Ovis aries: one gene and its partners. The protein of the gene in region 4 interacts with the protein of the main gene of each other region in a pairwise test. Links are inferred from orthologs where the notes say so. Each region holds a gene or a part of one and is shown on either strand. Other genes may lie near its edges.

The links. The genes of interacting proteins can lie anywhere in the genome.
Region 1: the proteins of AP1M1 (region 4) and ZBTB43 interact in binary tests that used the Homo sapiens proteins (3 or more experiments, as listed by UniProt). The two-hybrid records come from large-scale screens. The link is inferred for Ovis aries from reciprocal best matches to the Homo sapiens genes AP1M1 and ZBTB43.
Region 2: the proteins of AP1M1 (region 4) and TGOLN2 interact in a two-hybrid assay, tested with the Homo sapiens proteins (2 studies listed by BioGRID). The link is inferred for Ovis aries from reciprocal best matches to the Homo sapiens genes AP1M1 and TGOLN2.
Region 3: the proteins of AP1M1 (region 4) and keratin-associated protein 10-12-like interact in binary tests that used the Homo sapiens proteins (3 or more experiments, as listed by UniProt). The two-hybrid records come from large-scale screens. The link is inferred for Ovis aries from reciprocal best matches to the Homo sapiens genes AP1M1 and KRTAP10-7.

Annotation. Positions count from the first base shown.
Region 1 is NC_056056.1:9,310,311-9,314,480, forward strand, and holds the start of ZBTB43 (zinc finger and BTB domain-containing protein 43), read right to left. Parts: upstream 2,863-4,170; 5' UTR 2,743-2,862; intron 1-2,742. UniProt on the Homo sapiens protein: May be involved in transcriptional regulation.
Region 2 is NC_056056.1:57,188,614-57,192,969, forward strand, and holds the start of TGOLN2 (trans-Golgi network integral membrane protein 2), read left to right. Parts: upstream 1-1,494; 5' UTR 1,495-1,524; coding exon 1,525-1,570; intron 1,571-1,813; coding exon 1,814-2,685; intron 2,686-4,356. UniProt on the Homo sapiens protein: May be involved in regulating membrane traffic to and from trans-Golgi network.
Region 3 is NC_056054.1:262,544,494-262,548,409, forward strand, and holds keratin-associated protein 10-12-like, read left to right. Parts: upstream 1-1,298; 5' UTR 1,299-1,448; coding exon 1,449-2,348; 3' UTR 2,349-3,354; downstream 3,355-3,916. UniProt on the Homo sapiens protein: In the hair cortex, hair keratin intermediate filaments are embedded in an interfilamentous matrix, consisting of hair keratin-associated proteins (KRTAP), which are essential for the formation of a rigid and resistant hair shaft through their extensive disulfide bond cross-linking with abundant cysteine residues of hair keratins.
Region 4 is NC_056058.1:6,589,577-6,593,193, forward strand, and holds part of AP1M1 (AP-1 complex subunit mu-1), read right to left. Parts: intron 3,413-3,617; coding exon 3,282-3,412; intron 1,928-3,281; coding exon 1,780-1,927; intron 1-1,779. UniProt on the Homo sapiens protein: Subunit of clathrin-associated adaptor protein complex 1 that plays a role in protein sorting in the trans-Golgi network (TGN) and endosomes.

The DNA.
Region 1 (4,170 bases), on a different chromosome or scaffold from region 4:
AATGTCAGTTCAATTAAATGTTTCTAAAAGCTACAGAATGGAATTTTAAAAATCACATTTTCAAAGAGCTTGTTAGTTTCAGGAATCTGCATTCAACAACTTTTTTGGTACTGTGGTAAAATATACTTAACATAAAATTTACCACTGTGACCATTTAAAGTTTACAATTAGTGGCATTAAGCACATTCATGCAGTTGTGCAACCATCACCATTATCTGTCTGCAGAATTTTTTCATCATCCCAAACTAAAACCCTGTATCCATTAAATAATATTCCATCCTCTCCTCCCCCTTGATGTTGAGCAGGGCCCTGTGGGGCTCCAGGACACTGAGGTCTTTTTGTCCTCCATTTCTCATAGGCAAGACTCCAGCCTCCACAACGTTCTTAGTTCCAAAGGGCAGAACAGTTGCTAATTAAGGGAGGAGCAGCCAAGAAATCACCTGAGGTAAGATTAAAGGGACCAGAGAGGCTCATCAAGATTAGGAGAATGAACCCAAGACCCTGCTTGTGTGTTTGTGCTCAGTGACCCTGCAGAATAGATCCCACTAGGCTCCTCTGTCCATTGGATTTTCCAGGCAAGAATACTCGAGAGGGTTGCTATTTATACCCCAAGGGAATCTTCCCAACCCAGGGACTGAACCCAAGTCTCTTGAGTCTCCTGCATTGGCAGGTGGATTTTTTACCACTGTGCCCCCTGGGAAGCCCACCTAAGACCCTGCACACACCCTAATCTTGTCAGCAACCCCGCCCTTTTGAAACTTTGCATAATAATGCAAGACTGTTACTGCCTTAATCGTATCACACATCCCAGTTCAGTTCAGTCGCTCAGTCATGTCCGACTCTTTGCGACCCCATGAATCGCAGCATGCCAGGCCTCCCTGTCCATCACCAACTCCTGGAGTTCACTCAGACTCACGTCCACCGAGTCAGTGATGCCATCCAGCCATCTCATCCTCTGTCGTCCCCTTCTCCTCCTGCCCCCAATCCCTCCCAGCATCAAAGTCAACTCTTCGCATAAGGTGGCCAAAGTACTGCAGTTTCAGCTTTAGCACCATTCCTTCCAAAGAAATCTCAGGGTTGATCTTCAGAATGGACTGGTTGGATCTCCTTGCAGTCCAAGGGACTCTCAAGAGTCTTCTCCAACACCACAGCTCAAAAGCATCAATTCTTCGGTGCTCAGCCTTCTTCACAGTCCAACTCTCACATCCATACATGACTACTGGAAAAATCACACATCCCAGTCTGACTATATAACCTCTCTCTATTCACCTGGGAGTGGGGCACAGCTCTTGAGGCGCTAGCCGTTTGCCTGGCAAAGCAGTAAAGCCACTCTTTCCTTCTCTTCCATGACTCTGTATTTCTGTTGGGCACTGGTGCACAGAGAGCCAAGATTTTGCCAACACCCTCAGCCCCTGGCAAAACTATACTCCACTTTCTGTCTCCATGATTTTGCCTATTCCAGATACCTCATTTAAGCGGACTCATTCAATATTTGCTCTTTTGGGTCCAGCTTACTTCTCCACTGAATACTTTTGTAGAGCAAAGAATGAACCCCAAGCGACTAGGTTTCTCACAATTTAACTGTACATAGTGACATGATCTTCAAACTAAGCACACAGCTCTCCCAGAAATCCTGCTACTGCCCCACGAGCCCCAACGGGCAGAGGATCTCTGACAGACCCTTCCTCAGCCTGTACACAGGCTTGGTTAGGCAGTGGTAACTCAGAGAGCAGGCTCCTTAGAACCCTGGAAGGCACGTGAATGGAGCAAAGGGAAGTAAGAGTCGGCAGTTCTGAAAAACCATGGGTAAGAAAAAGTAAGGATTCATCAAGCTAATTTAGCTTGCAGATGGCCTTCTCTCTGTCCTCCAGAAGCTCCTACACCCTGACCGTTTCGGCGACACCTGTCAGAGCTGAGGTCAGACTGCAGTCTAGCCTCTGATCATGTCACCAGTGTAGGAAGCTTCACAGGGTCATGAGTCACCTGCCATGGCTGAGAGGTCCGGGCAGGCCGCCCCGCCCAGAGAAACCTCTGAGGAGAGGCAGAAACAAGAGAGAAAGACACACGACTGGCAGAGAAACACAGAATGAGTAAAGAGCTGGACCGACAGGCAGGCCGTCAACCAGAGTAAAGACTAAGAGGGAAACACAGGGTCAAGGGACACAGAAGGTGGAAACAGAAATGAAGACAGGACCCAAATACTCGGAGTTGGGCTCGAGAGAAACACAAAGCTGACAGAGGCCGAGTTAATAGGCATAAAGGGCAGGCGATGACAGGTGACAGACAGCAAGAGAGGTGAAACGCAGAGGTAAAGAGACCAGGATCAGCGAAGTCCCAAGCGCAGTCTTTCTCCTGGCTTTGACTCAAACGAGAGGTCGCCAAGCCGCGCCCACTCCGCGCCCCTGAAAGGCCGGAGGGGCGGTCTGACGGGGGAAGAGGGGGTGGCGGGATCTCTAAGCGCTCTGGCCCGCCGAGGTCCGTCACCGGAGGGTGACCTTGGACGAGACTCTGCCTCGGGGGCCTCGGTGTCGCTGCACGAGCTCCGGGCTGGCCAGAGACCGCAGAAGTGGGACCCGGAGCGCCGGGACTCCAACGGTCCCGCGTGCGGCTTCGGCATCCCGGTCGGCGTAATGGGCCTGACGGTGTCAGCGGTGAGCGCGCCGGAACCTGGAGAGAACCCCTCAAACCTCTCCGGTTTCCATTCCTGCCCCCTTGCTACGCGTGGTCCTGACTCTGCCATACCTGCCAAGGGCTCGGCGCTCACATAGCCCGCCGGTGGGATACTTTCCGCCGCAGCCGGCGCCGGGCCCGCTCAAGCCGTAGCTGCCGCGACCGCCTCAGCCTGCGCCTCCCGCCTCCGGAAACGCTTACCGGTCCCCCCCGCAAAACTGCCAGTGCTTCCGGGGGTGCGTCTGAGAGAAAGCGATGTGCGCATGCGGGACTCGCATTCGGGGCGGGGCGTCAGGAGCGTGCTCCGAGAGAACCCGCGGCTGCGCAGTACAACCCGGAGCATGTCAGTCTCCTGTAGGTACTCTAGGGCCAAAGCTGACATTTGCGGAGAGGAGTGCTAAATAATCCAAGTCTATGCCCCAACCAGTAACGCTGAAGAAGCTGAAGTTGAACCGTTCTATGAAGACCTACAAGACCTTTTAGAACTAACACCCAAAAAACATGTCCTTTTCATTATAGGGGACTGGAATGCAAAAGTAGGAAGTCAAGAAACACCTGGAGTAACAGGCAAATTTGGCCTTGGAATGCGGAATGAAGCAGGGCAAAGACTAACAAGAGTTTTGCCAAGAAAATGCACTGGTCATAGCAAACACCTTTTTCCAACAACACAAGAGAAGATTCTACACATGGACATCACCAGATGGTCAACACCAAAATCAGATTGATTATATTCTTTGCAGCCAAAGATGGAGAAGCTCTATACAGTCAACAAAAACAGGACCAGGAGCTGACTGTGGCTCAGATCATGAACTCCTTATTGCCAAATTCAGACTTAAATTGAAGAAACTAGGGAAATCCGCTACACCATTCAGGTATGACCTAAATCAAATCCCTTATGATTATACAGTGGAAGTGAGAAATAGATTTAAGGGCCTAGATCTGATAGATAGAGTGCCTGATGAACTATGGACTGAGGTTCGTGACATTGTACAGGAGACAGGGATCAAGACGATACCCATGGAAAAGAAATGCAAAAAAGCAAAATGGCTGTCTGGGGAGGCCTTACAAATAGCTGTGAAAAGAAGAGAAGCGAAAAGCAAAGGAAAAAAGGAAAGATACAAGCATCTGAATGCAGAATTTCAAAGAATAGCAAGAAGAGACAAGAAAGCCTTCTTCAACGATCAATGCAAAGAAATAGAGGAAAACAACAGAATGGGAAAGACTAGAGATCTCTTCAAGAAAATTAGAGACACCAAGGGAACATTTCATCCAAAGATGGGCTCGATAAAGGGTAAAAATGGTATGGACCTAACAGAAGCAGAAGATATTAAGAAGAGGTGGCAAGAATACACAGGAGAACTATACAAAAAAGATCTTCACAACCAAGATAATCACGATGGTGTGATCATTCACCTAGAGCCAGACATCCTGGAATGTGAAGTCAAGTGGGCCTTAGAAAGCATCACTAGGAACAAAGCTAGTGGAGGTGATGGAGTTCCA
Region 2 (4,356 bases), on a different chromosome or scaffold from region 4:
ACCTCTCTGTTATTTCTACTTGACTGTCTCACAGGCAAGAATAAATTCACTTTTAGTGCCCCAATCGTATTAAATCTGGTTTTCCACATCTTCCTCACATCACACCTCCCTCCCATAGCCAATCTATCTCCAAGGCCTGTTGGTATTTCCTCCCAAATTTATATTGAGCCCAACCACTTCCCTCTATTCTCACCATACCTATGCTAGTCCTTCTAGGACTACTGCAACAGCCTCCTAAATGTTTAACTCCTAAACACACTATTTTCTTCCCATAGCCTGTATGAACACAACAGAAATCTTAAACAGCATGATACAAAACGATATATCCAATAATTGCAATTTGGGAGAAAATGATTATAGAATAAAAGACGGTGAAAACACACTACTTAAGAAACAGGGGGCGGGAGTATATTTATATTTATCCTAATTGTATTTGTTTTAAAAAATCACTGAATAGGAACTTGTGGAGGAGGGCTAGAGAGCAAAAACATTCTATTATCTATTATTCGCTGCTCAGGCTTCCTCTTGCTGCAGAGAACAGGGGCTTCTCATTGTCACAACTTCTCTTGTTGCGCTGGCTCTAGGTCACTGGCTTCAGTAGTTGCGGCCCACCGGCTTAGTTGCCCCATGGGACCAAGGATGACTCATGTCCTCTTCATTCGCAGGTGGATTCTTAACCACTGAACCACAAGAGAAATCCCACAAGAACTTTTTGAGGTTTTTCATTTAAAGATAATTGCTTCAGTAACTTTCTAATGTGAACTTTTCGAAAAATAAATCCCATTTTTTTAACCGTTAGATTATATTACCTAATCAAATATATCGTTTGCAAGACAAAAATACACTAAAACGTTGATAGTCACTACTCTGGAAGCGTGAGGCAGAGATTCTGTTTTCTACTTGTACACATTCAGTGAATTTTCTAGCGTGAATGAGTAATTTACACGATCAGAAAACAGATGAACTTTTTAGAAAAGATCTTTGACACCGTTTCCGTCGGGGGTCAAAAGAGCGAGCAGGGTTGCGAAGGCTCCCGCTACAAAGGTGACAGGGTGGGTGTCTGTTTCCAGATTTCCACACGTCTGTGCGCTGCAGGGAAAGAACCATGAGGGAGGGAGAAGGCAGAAAGGCAGGCAGAGGATAGGAGCGAGCAAGCACCAGGCCCCAACGACTTCACTCCCGTGGTTACGTCCGTGGGCCAGGGAGCGCCTGCTTCGCCAGTATTGTCTCGTAAATATGACAGCAAAGAAGGAAAGGGGGACTAAGTTTGTAGCGGCCGCTGCGGAGCTACGAAAGCAGGAAAAGACAAATACGCCTTCTACACGCAATACAGCCCCGCCACCAGCAAAAGCAGTCACACCTCGGGGGAAACAACTGAACACCAGCTTGCCGGGCTTCTTCCAATCCCTGCCCCTTGCCTGGGTGTGGCTGCGGCGACGCACACAGGAAGGGGCGGGACATAACACTAAGCCCGCGTGCTGATCTCGCGAGAGCATTAGGGGGCGGAAGCACAGTCGGTGCAGGATGCGGTTCCTGGTTGCGTTCGTGTTACTGAGCGTCGCGGCAGCGGGTAAGAATTCCCCCCCGCCCCCACCCCACCGCAGTCCCAAGACCAGCCCCCGGTAATCCCACTGTCGCCCCGGGGCCCGTCGTCTTCACCGTGGCCTGTCAGCCCCTGACCTCACTCTTCCTTGCCCGAACCTCGCCACCGCTCCGCTCGCCAGCACTCCCCTCCCTTTTGCCCGTTGCAACGTTCTGAGGAGTTCTTTCTCCCCGACTGCCTCTCTTCAGCCAGATAGTTTCTCTGTTTCAGACTCGCAGCTCAATTCTGCTCCAGGCGCCGGAACAACCGCTCAGAAGGAAGATCAGGCTTCTGCAGGAAGCTCCAGGCAGCAGGTCTTGATCGCTCAGTCTAGGCTAGAACACAGTAACCAAACCTTTCTAAATCAGACCGACGCGAAAACCGACCCTGGCAATTCGGGAGCCACGCAGCGCCCCGCGAAAACCGACCCTGACCATTCGGGAACTGAGCAGCGCCCGACGGAAAGCGGCCCTGACAGTTCGGGAGCCGAGCACCGCCCCGCGGAAACCCACTCCGATAATTCGGGAACCGAGCAGCAGCGCCCGACGGAAAGCGGCCCTGACAATTCGGGAGCCGAGCACCGCCCCGCGGAAACCCACTCCGATAATTCAGGAGCCGAGCAGCGCCCCGAGAAAGCCGACCCTGGCAGTTCCCCCAGAGACCAGTCCAACAAGTTGGTCTCCAGCCCCTCTTCTGATAACAAGGAGTCCACCAAGGTTCATGTAAACACAGTCGCTGGCAAAGCTCTGCAGACTTCCAGAACTGAACCTGGGGGGAAAGTGTTGGCAGACCCCTCTTCTCCCCAGCGGGAGGGAGGAGGTAAGCCTTTAGAATTAACTGAAGATGTGGAGCCCAAGGAGACTGAAGAAGGGGATGCAGAGCCAGAGGAAGACGCACCACCCAAAGAAGGGAAAGAAATGGTTGGCCCTGCCTCCAGAGAGAACCGTGAAGGGACACTTTCGAATACCTGGAGTAAGAAGGATGACCTTTATAAGGATAACCTTGGAAATGCCAATGCAGAGAGCAGCCACTTTTTTGCATATCTGGTGACAGCAGCCATTCTCGTCGCTGCCCTCTATATCGCCTACCACAATAAGCGGAAGGTAAGGCAAGAATGGCCTTAAGAGGAGGAGTGGGATTTCCTCCTCTCAGAAAGCCTGATGTGTGAGTATCCATCACTCATCAGCCTGTAAGCCCTGGGAATTTAAGAAACAAACTTCCTGTTTTTTTTCCTGAGATCCTGCCAGGATTCTCTATTGGGTTTTCTAGGTTCTTTTTTTTCCTCCCTTTGTCTTAGAAATCATTTGTTTTCACATCTGTTTCCTCTGCCCTCTGCTGTTGCGTCAAGTGTGAAGCTTAGGACATTATTATGATTTGACCCAAATGAAGGTCTCCTCCCATAATCTTGGAACTTAGAATCTTTCACATCCTGAGAGAGGACCTGAGGACCTGACAGTTTGTATGTAGTTAAAGCAGTGATCTTCCTGTCTTCTAATTTCTAGCTTCCTCTCCCAAGCATTTGTCTTCCATCTGCAGGAACAGAAAGAATGGTTACAGAGTCTTCAAGACCAGCAGCAGAGCGCCCAGGGGTCTATGTTCTGCAGCTGAGTTTCTGATTAGAAGAAAGGCCAGAAATTGCATGAATACACTCATCTTTTACTTCAGCAGGGTTTGTTGTGTTGCTTAGTAACCACTCCCCAACGACAAAATAATTGCATTTCTTTTTTTGTTTTTAACTGAAATATAAAAAAACATGATGTGTAGTTGATTTACAATGTTGTGTTAGGTGTACAGCACAGTGATTCCGTTTTTTATATATATATTCATTTTCAGATTCTTCCCCAAATGATTGCATTTCTTATGAGCCCTAAGAATTTAGTAGTTTGTAATAGTCTGACTAAAATTGAAGGGTTCAATTCATGATAGTCAAAAGGCCTAGGGCTGTGAGAAATGAGAGAAGACATTTAGTAAAAGTGGTACATTCCTGGGAATTCCCTGACAGTTATGGGGTTAAGACTCCATGCTTTCACTGCAGGGGCCACAGGTTTGATCTCTGATTGAGGTTCTAAGATCCCCAATGCCACATGAATGTGGCCTTGAAAAAAAATTTTTTTAAGGTACATTCCTTATTCTACATCCAAGTGCTTATCATGGAGAGTAACCTTAAGTATGAAATGAGAGTGGTCAGGTTCAGATGAAATAAAGTGTGGGGTGAAAGAGTACATTTGCAGATTAGAAGTAATTATTGCTTAATACTAAGATAAAAGGAGGGGGACTTGCTTAGCCTGGAGGAGTCTCAGCTGGGGAGGAGTTGGCAGTTCTTTTCACTGTGTTGTTGTTCAGTCACCAAGTCCCGTCTGATTCTTTGTACCCCAAGGACTGCAGCATGTCAGGCTTCCCTATCCTTCACAATCTCTTAGAGTTTGCTCAAACTCATGTCCATTGAGTTGATGATCCCATCCAGCCATTTCATCCTCTGTCACCCCCTTCTCCTCCTGCCCTCAATCTTTCCCAGCATCAAGGTCTTTTCCAGTGAGTTGGCTTTTTGCATCAGGTGGCCAAAGTATTGGAGCTTCAGCTTCAGCGCCAGTCCTTCCTGTGAATATTCAGGGTTGATTTTCCTTAGGATTGACTGGCTCACTCTTGGAGTCCAAAGGACTCTCAAGAGTCTTCTCCAGCACCACAGTTCAAAAGCATTGATTCTTCAGCACTCAGCTGCCTTTATGGTCCAACTCTCACATCCATACATGACTACTGGAAAACCATAGCTTTGA
Region 3 (3,916 bases), on a different chromosome or scaffold from region 4:
TTGTGTGATTCCTTTTACATGAAATGAGCAGAACAGCCAAAGTCATAGAGACAGAAAGCAGAGCGGTGCTTGACAGGGACTGGGGAGGGTCTACCCAATACTACAAGATTTCCTTTTGGGAATGTCCCGGGACTAGATAGTGGTCATAGTTGTACAGTGTTGTGACTGTACTAAATGTCCCTGAATCGAACACTTTAAAATGGTTAATTTTATATTATTTGTTACATGTAATAAAAAAAAAAACGTACCTGTTAAGGATTTCTAACAGGGAGGCCCCTAGAGCTTCCCTGGTGATCCAGTGGTTAACAATCCACTTGCCAATGCAAAGAACATAAATTTAATCCCTGGTCTGGGACTAGCCCACGTGCCACAACTACCAAAGCCCATATGTCCTAAAGCCAGTGCTCCTCAATAAGATAAGCCATTGCCAAGAGCAGCCTGCCCACTGCAACAAAAAGTAAGCCCCGTTTGCCACAACCAGGGAAAGCCTACATGTAGCAACAAAGACCCAGCTCAGCGAAAAGTTAACTAATTTTTAAAGAAGAGTGAGGACCTCAGACTGTGCAGCACTGGGTGTTACCAGTGTTGTAAATCTTGGCTGATCTTGCAGGTGGGATATTTGTGTTTTAATTTAGAGCCTTTTAATTATCAGTGATATCCAGTAGCTTTTCAAATGTTGATTGGAAATTTGAATGGACTGTGTGCTTGTGTTTGATTCTATTGTATCATATCCTGCTTTAGTTGTAAAGGCTTTCAACTTTTACATTGCAAATATTTTCTAGCAGTTCAATATCTTCACTTTATATGCCAAAAATATTTCTTTTGGGTTCTGATTGAAGTTACATCAGGGATGGATTGATCCAGAAAGAGTGGTAATTCAGTCTATAGCTCTGAGTTTCTTGCTTACACCTCTCGGGTCCCAGTGGATATATGTTGTGTGTGTTCTTTGGTCAAGTTTTCTATTTCGCTCGCAACTTATCTTCTTAGTAATGCTCTTAGGTATAGTTTGGGCTGCGGTAAAGCTAGGCATCTTTCCCTATGTATTCTCACACTGTCAAGGCTGGCGTGAAGTGGGAGCGGCTGCAGTGGCTGGGAACTTGTCTCACGCTCAGCCCCTCCCTCCGTGAACGTGACTTAAGAACCCTGGCAGGCATTCAGCAGAAACTTGCGTCTTGCATCCTCCACAAGTTTTCTGGAGCCAAACAAAGAACAGATGGGAAAACAGACTCTTGCAACGTACTCACATGTTTAATGAGTAAAAGCTAATTGTAGAAAACACAGCAGCCCTAATGAGGGTCAGCTCCAAACAGCAACAAGGAAGGGAGAGCGTGGGAGCCTCCGACCAGGGCCACGCGCATACTCAGGGCGGGTATAAAAGCAGACACCCTCAGCACTTCACTCACACACTCACACACACTTACACCTCCTCCAGCCGTACCACCTCCACCATGGCCTTCTCTAACCTGTCTGCTTGCTCCAGCGACCTGAGCTACAGCAGCCGGATCTGCCTGCCTGGATCCTGTGACTCCTGCACCGGCTCCTCCTGGCAGGTGGATGACTGTCCAGAGAGCTGCTGCGAGCCCCCCTGCTGTGCCCCCAGCTGCTGCACCTCGGCCCCCCGCCTGACCCTCCTCTGCGCCCCAGTGAGTTGTGAGTCCAGCCCCTGCTGCCAGCCAGCCTGCAGCAGCTCCTGCCCAGCCTCATGTGGCCAGCAGTCCAGCTGCCAGTCCTCCTGCTGCACCTCCTCCCGCTGCCAGCAGGCCTGCTGTGAACCTGTCTGCTGTGAGCCTGTCTGCTGCAGGCCCGTCTGCTGCAGGCCTGTCTGCTGTACACCTGTCTGCTGCACACCTGTCTGCTGCAGGCCTGTCTGCTGTGAGGCCTCCCCCTTCTCAACCTCCTCATGTTGCCAGCAGTCCAGCTGCCAGCCCTCCTGCTGCACCTCCTCCTGCTGCCAGCAGGCCTGCTGTGAGCCCGTCTGCTGCAGGCCTGTCTGCTGTACACCTGTTTGCTGCAGGCCCGTGTGCTGTGAGACCTCCCCCTGCTCAGCCCCCTCATCCTGCTGCAGACCCTCCTCTTCCGTGTCCCTCCTCTGCCGTCCTGTGTGCCGCCCCGTGTGCGGCCCCACCTGCTGTGTGCCCGCCTCCTCTTGCAAGCCCAGCTTCTGCCGCCCGGCCTCCTCTGTGTCCCTCCTCTGCCGCCCTGCGTGCCGCCTCGCCTGCTGTGTGCCCACCTCCTCCTGCCAGCCAAGCTGCTGCCGCCCAGCCTCCTCTGTGTCCCTGCTCTGCCGGCCTGCATGCTCCCGCCTGGCCTGCGGCATCCCCACCTCAGCCCCGGAGCTCTGCTGCTGACCGGCCAATCACCCGCCCTCCACAAGCTGCTGTCTCTCTCCCAAGCTCCAGGAGCCCCTCTGCTGGCGCCAGGACCTCCCCTCTCCCAAAGTTGGACACGCAGCTGCTGCCCAGAGAGGATTCGAACTTGGCAGGCATCTCAGAAAGCCCTTGACAGGGTGGACTGTGGGGCCCCAGGAGCCTCCTCTGCAGGACAGGCTGCTTGAATCCCATATGACAAACATCAGCTGCTCTAATGAATAAAGCGTTTGTGTCAGGAAATATGGACCCATGTCTGTTTTGGCCTCCTCCCTTGGGCCCCCTCAGCCCCTCCAAATATGGCCTGTAGGTGCTCTGCTGGCAGAAGCCAGGCAGTAAAGACACATTCTCCCATCCGAGTTCAAAGCAGCTGAGAAACAACAGGATCTGAAAGCTGGTGCCATTCACACATTCTATGTCCCTTCCTACCCCAGGCTCACTCTCCCTGCAGTGGACGGCCCTTCAAGGCTGACATGGAGGCGGGTGTGGGTGCAGAAGGCTCAGATCCTGAGTGGGCCCTGGGTTCCTCCCCCTGCCCATGCAGGTTGAGGGTGACTTGGGGAGCAGCAGAAACCCTCCTGGGTCTGGATCGGAGAGTCCAGGGTAAGTGCTGTTGGAGAGACGTGCCAACACTGAGGAGGAGATTCTGGGGGCTCCAAGGGGGTGCAGTGTCAATTTAGACATCACTCATTCTACTCAAGGTTTCAAAGCCTGACCGAGGAGGGACAGAACAAAAGAGACGCCTTGTGAACAAACCCTCAGGACAGTAGGGGAGAAAGAGCCTGCAGTCTTAGTGGACATTAGCAATAGAGGAAGTGGGCACCAGTCAGCACCAGTCAACTACTTATCCCCCACCAGAAACAGACTGATGAGGCCCATAGGAGCAGGAGAACAGTGGTGGCTGGGGCAAGAGGGACCAGGAACTGAAGGCATCTCCCCAGGGGATACTATCCCCACCCCAGCTCAGTTCCATCCAGGAAAGAGGGAATGGAGCAAAACCCTAAGAGGACTGGTAAACAGGTGTCCTGCCTCAACTCGTAAATCTCTTTCCTGAGTTTACTCAAGACAAGTACCATTTTTCTCCTTTGCCTTTAGCTTCTTTTCTTTTCTCACCTATTTGTAAAGTCTCCTCAGATAACCATTTTTGCCTTTTTGCATTTCTTTTGGTTGGGGATGGTCTTAATCACTGTCAAGTGATCAAAGGCAAAGGAGAAAAGGAAAGATATACCCATTTGGATGCAGAGTTCCAAAGAATAAAAGGAGAGATAAGAAAGCCTTCCTCAGTGATCAGTGCAAAGAAAAAGAGGAAAACAATAGAATGAGAAAGACCAGAGGTCTCTTCAAGAAAATTAGAGATACTAAGGGAACATTTCATGCAAAGATGGGCTCAATAAAGGACAGAAATGGTATGGACCTAACAGAAGCAGGAGATATTAAGAAGAGGTGGCAAGAATACACAGAAGGACTATGCAAAAAAGGTCTTCACGACCCAGATAACCACGATGGTGTGATCACTCACCTAGAACCAGACATCCTGGAATGTGAAGTCA
Region 4 (3,617 bases):
TGGCAATGAGTTCTCAGACATGGCACCAAGAGCATAATCAGTTTAAAATTTTGATATTTTGGTTTTTTTCCTGAATATTTTTTTCTGTGGACCACTTTTAAATCCTTTATTGAATTTGTTATAACACTGTTTCCGTTTTGTTCTGGTTTCTGGCTGAAAAGTATGTGAGATCTTGGATCCTCAATCGGGATCAAAGCTGTACCCCCTTCATTGGAAGGTGAAGTGGTAACCAACTGGACTGCCAGGGAAGCCCCAAAATACTGGATATGTGGACCTTCTCAAAAACCTCTGCTCTGTGAAAGACAACGCCAACAGAATGAAAAATGACAGACTCAGGAGAAATATTTGCAGATCACACATCACATTGGATAAAGACAAAAAAAAAAAAAGACTTTATCCAACACAAAGAACTGTCAAAACTCAACAATCAGAAAACAAACTCAACTTAAAAATGATCAGAGACATGAAGAGACACACCTCCAAAGATATATGGATGAGAAAGAGGCATACAGAAAGATGCTCAACATCATTAGCCATTAGGGAAATGTGCATTAAAGCCATGATGAGATGCCTAGCAGAATGGCAAAAATAAAACCGTTGAGCAAGGCTGTGGAGCAACTGGAATTCTCACCCACTGCTGGTGAAAATGCAAAAATGTTACTGGAGAGTAGATGGACAGTTTCCTATAAAGTCAAACATACACTTACCATATGACCCAGCAATCCCACTCCTGGGTATTTGCCCTAGAGAGATGGAAACTTCTGTCTACACATAAATCTATACAGAAATGCTCATAGCAACTCTTCACAATTGCCAAACACTGGAAACAACCCAGATGTCCTCTGATGGGTGAATGGATAAACCAACTGTGATTCAGAGTATAAAATAAATGAACCAAAGAAGACATAAACTTTGGATAAACAGAGCAATTTGGATGAATCTCAAGGCCATATATTGAAAGAAGTCAGATTCAAACTGACACACTCTGTTCGACTCCACTCATCTGACAATCTCAGGAAGACCAAGCTGTGACGGAGGCCGCAGGAGCAGCTGCCAGGGGCGGGAACAGGCGGAGGGCGTGGCTGCCGAGAGGCAGCATGGGCGAGGTGTTTGAGGTGATGGAGCTGTTCTGATGCCCGGTTATGATAATGGGTACAAGTCTGTACACGTGCTAAATTCACAGAAGATGTGGTCAGTTACCAACTAACAATAACTTAATAAACAAAATGAAAGAAAACAATAAGAACCAAACCCCAAGCAACTCCAAAAGCCAGCTGTAGAACTACACCTTACGTTCTCAGTTTTCCACAAGCAACATGTCTGTAAACCTACAGCAGGAGCGGCCGAAAGATGACAACGAATCCTTCTGTGCTGTGGCCTTTCTGATTGCGGAGCCCTGCGCTTGCTCGCTTTCTAATTATTGCTTCACTTTTGCCTGGAGGCATGCAGGATCCTAGTTCCCCAACCAAGGTCGAACCCAGGCCTCCTGAAGTGGTAGCATCGGGTCAGCCGCTGGCCCACCAGGAAGTCCTGGAGCCCTTGGCTGTCTAACCCTATACATTTCTTTTTTAATGATATGCATGCATTCATTCTAAATAAGGACAGAAACGAACGCAGGTGAAACAAGCTCGGGTTGCAGTGAGCAGCCCTGACCGAATCCCGCCGATCTGCTATCACACAGAAACTGTTTCTCAGGGCCTTGCTAATTTTAAAAGTCAAGTTGCTTTTATTTCCAATCACGAAGAAGACAACATTTTTTAAAAAACAAAGGAAGCCTACCAGGAGATTGACGGACTCAATGACATCCAAGAACACCTCGTTCTTCCGGTACTTGATGCCCTCCGAGCGCCAGGACACTGCGTTGGTGACAGTGGCTGGGGGCCGTGGGGCCCCCGTTTCCAGCTTGTGGCCTTCCTGGGTGATGTACCTGTGGGCCCGGGCTCAGAGTTAGCTGGCTCAGGCACTGCCATATTGAAAACAGCCCCTCCCTGTAGCAGGCGCCAGGAGAGGCAGGCTCTGGTTTCACCTGGGGCCATTTAACACAACAAGATCACGATTTCCAAAACCCCAACAAACTCTTCAGTTACTATGAGGACAGAGATCTCAGTCGCAGGGCAGCAAGGAGACAGCGCTGGTGAGGAAAACAAGTAGTGGGCATGAAATGCTTCCCCGCTGGGCATGAAATGCTTCCCCGCTGGGCATGCAGAGACCACCGACCTCCCTGGGAGAGTAACCTGGTGACCCTGATTCCACTCGCTGTTTAGTCAGAAGTCACGTGCCACCTGACCCTGTGGACTGCAGCCCACTGGGCTCCTCTGCCCATGGGACTTCCCAGGCCAGAACACTGGAGAGGGTTGCCATGCCCTCTTCCAGGGGATCTTCCCAACCCAGGGATCAGACCCATATCTCCTGCATTGACAGGTGGATTCTTTACCACTGAGACACCTGGGAAGCCCGTTTGCTTCCACTTGTGGAACAACAGATATGGGGTGTGCTTAAGTCACACGGCCTCTCAGAGAGTCCCTTCCCCTGTAAGATGGGAAGACAGCAGCTCTGACTAACTGAAATGGAAAAAAGTGCTCACAAGAGGCCTGCTTCCCCAGACGTGCTTAATCAACGGTGACCATTATTTGGTGCCCAGGATTCCAAAGGAGGGAGACTTTTCATCACAATCTCATTTATGACAGTAAAAACAAAGGCAGTGGGACTTCCCGGGTGGTCTGGTGGTTGAGAATCTGCCTTCCAATGGAGGGGACGCAGGTTCGATCCCTGGCCGGGGAACTAAGATTCCACAGGTTATGGGGCAACTAAGCCCATGCCCCTTTACTAGAGAGCCCTCGGGCCGCAAACTACAGGGCCCACTGGCTCTGGAGCCCGCATGCCACAACTAGAGTGGAGCCTGCATGCTGCAAGAAGACCTTGCGTGTGCTAACTGGAACCCAAGGCAGTCAGACCTGAACAAACGTGTTGAAAAACAAAAGCAGAACAGCAGCAGGTGAGTCCCCAGAAACAAGGCACTGAGCGCACTTCTGTGGATGGAAATGAAGGCCCAGCAACAGCAGGCACGCTCACGCCAGGCAGTGATGCTGAGTGGGAAAGGAGCCAGAGCTGCCCCAGGAACTTAGAAAGCTTCTGGTGGGCTGGAGACAGGCAGGGGACCAGCAACGGGAATGCACATCTGCCCCCTGCACCTCCAGACCTGCGCATGACTTCAACACAGTGACATCGCCTGGCCTGACCCCCGCTCAGCCCTGTCCCCGGGCCCCACGCCACCCACTCACTCCTGCAGGATCTTGCTGTCTGTGGTCTGGGGGTAGCCGAAGTCCATGAGCTCGTCCAGCAGCTCGTAGATGATGACGAAGTTGTCTCGAATGCTCTCCTCCTCCAGCTCCTTGAAGTATTCTGAAAATACCTGCAGTGTTGCCGTGGGAGGCAGATCAGTGAGAGGAGGGATGAACGCCTGTACAAGTTCATTTGCACTTCGTGCCCCGAGGCCCCTGCCAACAGCCCTTCTGTTCATAAGCTGTGTTTGCCTGGTTCCCAGGAGTGCTCGGACGAGGTCTTGGGCTCAGGGAATGTGGGCAGGAGGACAGCAGTGGCTGCCTGTGACGCGGGAA